Caenorhabditis elegans: one gene and its partner. The protein of the gene in region 2 purifies or fractionates together with the protein of the main gene of each other region. This does not show direct contact. Each region holds a gene or a part of one and is shown on either strand. Other genes may lie near its edges.

Region 1 (3,929 bases), 8.4 Mb from region 2:
CAAGCTTTATCTCATTAGAAAGTACATTGGAGTTTCACAAATGGAATTCGATCAGGTAAATACTTTTTTCTATCATCAAAAGTTAATAATTTAATTTTCAGAAGTACACTGATGAAGACATTGATGATCTTTTTGAACGAGAATGCTGGCTGAAACGAAACTGTGCAACGTGGAAAGCCGAACGAGACGCTGCGGAACAAGAAAAAATGGCTCAATCGGGTCGGTACAAAAGGTATAAGAGATATATGAAAAACGCGGGAACTATTTCGTTTGTCGATGAAGATTAAATATTTACTAAAAATTACTTATTGCATTTTATAACTCGTTCTTTCTAAATTATTATTCCTTTATGCAGCTGTTTTATCATCAAATTTTTATAGCATTTCATGTTTTCACTTAACTCGAATGTTTCTCCGAGTTTGCGAGCATAATCTACTTCTTTCTTACCAATATTGATGTTTTTTCTTCATTTTCAATCTTTTTTTACTGTGGGTGATAATTTATTCAATTGATAAAAATTGCTTTTTTTTTTTGGAATTTCAAAAATAAAAACCCATCGATGGATTATTCAATAATTTAACATGGACGAGAGGACAATTTTCAGTAAAACACAGAATATAAGGTAAATGGGCGGGACATGAAAGAAGAAGAGATTCGGAAGTGCTCAGTGATAGGGATTGCTGCGTTTTTCGAAGAGCATTTTTACACGACGCTCCTCTAGAGACAGCGAATGATCATCTGGATAGACTATTCTTGTCCTCGAGCCAAGTTTAGATGCAACTACTGCCGCAGCAGAAGCGGCAGCTGCACCAGAAGACGTAGTTGGTGGACCGTTGTTAGGCTTAAAATATTAAAATTAAAAACAAGTTTTATTTAACTTTATTTTATGAAATATCAATAAAGCTCGATCGAAATCCCATTATTTGAAATCAAGGAATATACCTCGACGATTTCCTCCTTTAGTTCAGCTTTCACTTGATCAAATCGGCTACCTCCCGGTGGACCTCCACGATCACCTTCTCTAAACCGATCATCGTATCCTCCTTGATTGTAGTCATCTGGAGCTTGATAATCTTGATGTTCTGAAATTTATTAGCTTGCTAAATCAAGCTTTTACGAATGCCATAAACTCACCATGCTCGTTTTCATATGGTGGCGTCCGTGGTACTCCTCGCATTGGTGGACCCCACCTGTCTCCGCCGTCAGGTTGATCAAATCGGCTTCTTTGAGGAGGACCAGGCATGGGTGGGCCACCAGGTGGTCCATGACCTATTGGCATACGTGGTGGAGGATATGCACCAGGCATTCCTGGCGGAGGCATATACACGCCAGGAGCTGGCGCTGGAGGGTATCCACGTGGCGGAGGATAAGCTCCTGGCATCCCGCGAGGTGGCATCATACCAGATGGCATTGGAGGCATTCCGTATGCCATTGACGGTGGTGGTGGACCTAAAAAATCAACCGTTTTTAGAATGGAACTTAAATATGTTTTCCGCACCCGACGGCATAGGAGGCATTCCAGGAAATGGGAAATGCTGTGGGAAAGGCATAGGAGTTGGCATAGGTGGTCCATTGTCCATCCTTGATCGTTTTTCGTCCGGTTCTTCGTCAGCTGCTCCACGATAAGCGCCAGACGGAATTCCTTGCATTCCGTAAATTTCAACGTGGATATTATCTCTGCCATGTACAGCTGCCGGTATTTTGTCTATAGTTTCTTTATGTACCTGTAATTCGTGGGATTACCGAATGACTTCTTTTTTCAAGAACAAAAAAAAATTAACCTGCATGCAGTGAATCGATAATCCTGGACCACTGAACAATTTTTTGTGACAAATATGACATTTGAAATGTTTGGCTTTTTGATGTTGTATCAGAATCTTTTCATCGTCAAATTCTCGGTTACAATACCTAAATTGAATAGTTTAACTTCAAGAACAGTACAATTATTTTAAAAACTCACCAGCACCATGGTTTATCGACCTTCTTCTTCTTTCTACCCATTTCTGATGGAGAATCTACGTATTTATATCTGAAATAGGAAGAAAAGAATAATTCAACTAATTTTAAAACTCGATTAGGAGAAAAATGTAAAAACCAGTTAAAATATTTCTTCGAAAGGAACGCATGCGCACAAGAAAATTCAATTTTGCAGAGTCCCGCACGAATTATGGGGAGGAGTTACACGCCCTCTGCAAGCCCGCCGCGCACTTTTCCTCTTATTTTACTGCCGTTGTTAACGGTTACCATGGTTTGCAAATAGCTTGTCTGAATCGAAACAAAGAGACATTTTTCAAATTTATTACAATAAATGGAGGAATGAAAAGGGGAAATGTACAATTTTGAAACGTATACCACAGAATTAGAAAAAAAAAACTGACTGTTCAATCAGATATATACTTAACAATTGCAATTGCATATGTACAAATCGTTTGGATATTTTTTAAAGTCGTAATGATTCTTCTAGTTTCTATAACTTTATGAAGTCGAGTGAAATAAATCCGATCGATAATTCGAATTTATTGTTTAGAAGTTTTATGTAAGTTGTCATTAAAATGCCCGTGGAGCTACCGTAACCTATATTTGAGTAACACAAAAAAGTTACTTTTATTATTATGACGGCATCCTTGAAGGTATTCTATAATAGTATTGCACATCAAACACTTTAAAAAATTAATTTTGAATTAAGTTGTTACAAAAGGACACACATAACTATTTAAAAACGCATATTTCAGCATTTTGTGCTCTTAATAATTTTGCAATTGTTTTTCAGGAACTTACAAAACTTTTGGAATTGTCGTTTTTTTGTAACAATTTAATTTTTTCTAATCAACTTTTTTGAAATGTTACTTATTCAAAAGTGGAATATTAACAATTTTGAAACACACAGTTTTCACCAATCATTTTTTGATAAAAAAAAATGGTTTCTTCCAATTTTATTTTTAAATTGTTCATATTCCATTGAAATAAAAGTTAAAATGCTTCCAAAAATATTGAAAAGTGCCAAAACGATATAGTATCGTACATTGCTAACCTTTCAATAAAGTTTGCAGAAAAAAATAAAGTGACGATAATTCAGATTTTGCCACTCATAATTTGGATATCACCCTACAAAATAAAACTACAATTTTCCCATTCTAATTATTTTCAAATTATTTATATATTCAGAAAAAGCAATTTACCGAAACTTTGTCCAAATTTTTTTTTGAAAATCTAAAACATTTCAAAGTGCTATACTGTTCATTTATGAGTATTATAGTTTCATTCAGACAAAATCTATTAAATAGTTATTTACCTCCAATTTATGAAATACGGTATTCGTATTTTCTTTTTTTCATACTATTTTTTCTGGCCACCCGTCACCTTGCTTCTTCTTCTTCTTTTCTTCTTTAGCTTTTTTCCATATTGTATCGTACCCCTCAATTTTCCTGCCACTTCGCATATAAATCTGTCCTTTTTGTTCCCTTCGATTCGGCAGTCATCATCGTTCATCTGGTCCTCCGTTCCTCTCTTCTTCCGTCCTTTTCGTCCCCACTCCCCGTTCACGAGCACATTATCTTCCGAAAAGTAGGCGGAGCCAGTCGGTTCGGCGCCCTTTTCTCATCCACCTGTTTCTCAGTGTCTCTTAGTTATTACACTATTACACATGGCGCCAATAAAAGGACCTCTTAGAATGGGAAGGGCCGTTCACTTGTTCGTTTCATTCTACATCACTTTACTGCTTTCTTTATTTATTCTTATGATATTTTGAGTTGATCTAGATATGACATCGTCCTGAAAACGAAACGGAACAAAAGTTCAAGATATTGATTTCGAATCGTTTATCAGGATGATGTGATTAAAATCAACTCGGACGGTAAGCGAGAGTTTTCAATTATTTTTAACTTTTTTTTGGTAAGATTTAACTACTATTGAGTTACTTTAGATATATG
Region 2 (3,310 bases):
GACGCGTTTTCTACGGGAGCTTTCAGTTTTTCATCTGAAAATATGTAAATTCACCGGTAGTTTGAGTGAAAAAATCAATTCAACAGTGAAATTTCGAAAAAATAGGATTTATGTGCATTTCAGAGTGAAAATTGGCATTTTTGACGTATTTTCCATCAAAAATAATGCCAAAAACTGAATTTTCGACGTTTTGAGCATTTTGAAAACGCTAAATTCGAGAAAATCGATATTTTCAGCAAAAAAACGCTGTAAATTCTCGTTATCCACGCGAAATCTTAATTTTTATACTAAAAATGTATAAATTTAACGGTAATTTAAGTAAAAAATCAATTCCTTTGCGAAATTTTTAGAAAAATTGGATTTCTGTGCATTTCCCAACGAAAACTGTTATGAAATCGCATATTTTTGCGGAAAAATCACATTTTTCGGTAATTTTAGTAGAAAATATCGCCGAAAATTGATTTTTCGGCGTTGAAAAAGCTGAAAATGGGTATTATTTTCCATTTTTACGTATTTTCCATCAATAATAACGTTTCGAAATCGATAAAATTGGTTTTTGGAGGTTTTTAAGGTGAAAATCGATATTTTCAGCCTAAAAATGCCAGTTTTCGACCGTAAATCTTCGAAAATCACATTTTTAAACTGATTTATTTCCTGGAAAACCTAGAAAAAAGGTAAAATAAATTATTAAAAACCGGATTAGAACCGAAAAATTGGCAAACTGAGGGAAAATCAGGGAAAAAAGCTTCATTTGACCAGACCAGTGGGAGGAAGATGATGATGAAACACGAAAAAATTAAGGGGGGGGGGGGAAATCAATAAATAAATTATTATTAATAAAAAATAGATTTCAACAAGTAAAATTGCAATAAAAACACACACGCTAAAAACACGATTATCACATGTAGAACGGCATGAAAAAAAAATCACAGCTCTTCTTTGACATATTTCGGCTTAAGCTCCTCGATGCGCTTGATGAGCTCGGCCTTCTCGGTGCATCCCTTGCACACCTCTCCCCACTCGCCGAGAATGTTTTTCAGCTCTTTCACGCGCATTTTCTTCAAATCGATCGTCTTCCAGTCGAGTGGCTTGTCTGTGAAATTTGGGGATTTATTTATTTTTTTTTTTTGATTAAAAGCGAGATTATGCGCCAAACGAACCGTATTTAAGCTCACAAATCTGAGCATCCTTGCCCTTGAGCTTCTCCAAACAGACTTTTTCCGTTGGCATCGACCAACTGAGCGGCTTGGTGACCTCGTTCATGATGGAAGTGGCCGATTCTGGGAGTGCGCCGATGTAGAAGCACTGAAAATGGATAAAAATTAAAAATTTTAAAGGAAAATTAGATTAAATCATTTAAATCTTTAAATCCCCTACAAATTTGTTCTCCTTGTTGCGAGTGGTCTCACAATGCTCTCTGATCACTTTTCCGATGGCATCTGGCTTGGATTTGTCGCCGGCCGGCACTTTTGCCATCACATCGTCCAGAACCTTTTTGCAGACTGAAAATTTCGCGATTTTTTATTAGATAATTAAGTAATTAAGCTTTCTCAAATTTACAAACCTTCACATTGTGGAGCAGCAGCCGAGGCGACGACAATCACCAGGGAGATGAGAAGGACGAGTCGGCTCATCTGCTGGAAAAAACAGGGATTATTACGGGGTTTTCAGGGCTCTGAGAGTGTAAATAGCGGGAAAACTGAAAAAAAAAACCAACAAATTATGCAGAAAAATAGAATAAAAAGACAAAAGAAAGCGGAAAAAACGGAGAGAAAATAGAGAAAAAGCGAACGCAATTCGAGAAAATAAGCTGACGTGTTTGCGCGCACCGCGGGCGCGTCAGCACTCTCCTTGGCGCGTTTCTCGATGTGGACGTCAGCGTTAACGTTGACTTTTGGAATTAATTTTGTAATTTATTCGGGCTGATTCGCAGTGAAAAACGATATTTTCCATTGAGAAAACCTCAAAAATAGTTAGAAAATCGTATTTTCCAACTAAAATTAGCATTAAAGATCGCGGGAAACATGAAAATTTGCATAAAACTTCACTTTTTACAGGTTCGCAAAATTTAAAATAAAAATGTTTGAAAATCAGATTTTTTAAAAAATCTTTTCTTGGTCCAGAACGAAATTCAGGTCTCGCGTGGAAGGGATTTTAAAGTCGATTTGGCGGTTCCCGTGGAGATCGGGTCATGGTGCATCGATCAAAATACTTTCTTCTTGTATTATAGGTTTTGTACCATTTTCAGGGGGTTTTCCAGAATTTCCAGAACCAAAAAATCCAAGAATTACAAGAAAATTCGATTTGAAAACACTAAAAAGAAGAAAAAGCGATTTCGAATTCAAAACTACTACTGTAGAGGGGTACTGTAGTCTGAAAATTTGCACAGTTCGCGTTGGGAACACAATATATTCTATTAATAGGCACATCTTGATAAAAACCTGGAATTTTTACGGTTAAAACTAAGTTTTTCAACAGAACATATTCGTGAACTTTCTTGATAAACTCGGTTCTATTTACGTGAAATTTTTAGTTTTTAACAAATTCCACATTTTTATTATATTTAATGCCACGTCATCGCAAAACTAATATCGGAACATTGAGGTTAGTTTAACAGTTTTTTTTCAGTCGAAGAAAAGTTGTGAGTTTTTTTTCTAAAAACATTGTATTCTTTTTTGCTGATATGAGGGTTCTCGAAAAGTTGGTGGCCGAGTTTTCTTCTGCGCGGCCGCGAATAAATAATTTTTTTCAAAGAAAAAAATTAGATTGGCAGGATTTAATGAAATTAGTTTTGAAAATTTTCAGGTTACTTTTTGACCATTATAAAATTTTTTGGTGGCCGAGTTTTCTACACCGTTTGAAAAATTAGTCCGTCGTCCCAACGCAAATAAACTGTGTCGTAAAGTTTGCCTTCTGAGAAAAATCTTTAGGGGTAAATATTTCAAGTTTCTGTGTAAATTTTTGACGCGGGAATTAAAATTTTTTCCCTTTTTTTCAAAGTTAGTTTAAAGATTTGCCCGTGTGGTAGAATTGGACTCATCTCACTAGATTCTCACTATAGGTTCAACCAAAATTTTACAGCTCTGCCCGCATATAAATTGTTCGGAAATTCAGATTTGCATTGTACACTGCAACATTTTCCTCACGAGGGAAGAGGAAAAGTGGTTTCTAGGCCATGGCCAAGGGGCCGATAAGTTTCAGCGGCCATTTATCTTGCTTTGTTTTCCGCCTGTTTTCTTTCGTTTTTCATCGATTTTTTTCGTTTTTTCTTAATAAAACTGATAAATAAATATTTTTTGCAGATGCTAAA

What was found.
Region 1: the proteins of manf-1 (region 2) and znf-207 fractionate together in Caenorhabditis elegans (co-fractionation; one large-scale study listed by BioGRID). This does not show direct contact.

What each region holds. Positions count from the first base shown.
Region 1 is NC_003282.8:11,309,072-11,313,000, reverse strand, and holds znf-207 (BED-type domain-containing protein), read right to left. Parts: upstream 2,030-3,929; 5' UTR 2,002-2,029; coding exon 1,961-2,001; intron 1,909-1,960; coding exon 1,782-1,908; intron 1,725-1,781; coding exon 1,499-1,724; intron 1,450-1,498; coding exon 1,135-1,449; intron 1,083-1,134; coding exon 943-1,082; coding exon of another isoform or gene 895-942; exon of another isoform or gene 862-894; intron 842-861; coding exon 665-841; 3' UTR 483-664; downstream 1-482. Other genes in the region: DnaJ homolog dnj-2, read left to right, coding at 1-55, 102-287.
Region 2 is NC_003282.8:2,926,785-2,930,094, forward strand, and holds manf-1 (Mesencephalic astrocyte-derived neurotrophic factor homolog), read right to left. Parts: upstream 1,638-3,310; 5' UTR 1,635-1,637; coding exon 1,565-1,634; intron 1,503-1,564; coding exon 1,378-1,502; intron 1,306-1,377; coding exon 1,161-1,305; intron 1,094-1,160; coding exon 927-1,093; 3' UTR 733-926; downstream 1-732. UniProt on the Caenorhabditis elegans protein: Inhibits endoplasmic reticulum (ER) stress response. Retained in the ER under normal conditions and is up-regulated and secreted by the ER in response to ER stress and hypoxia.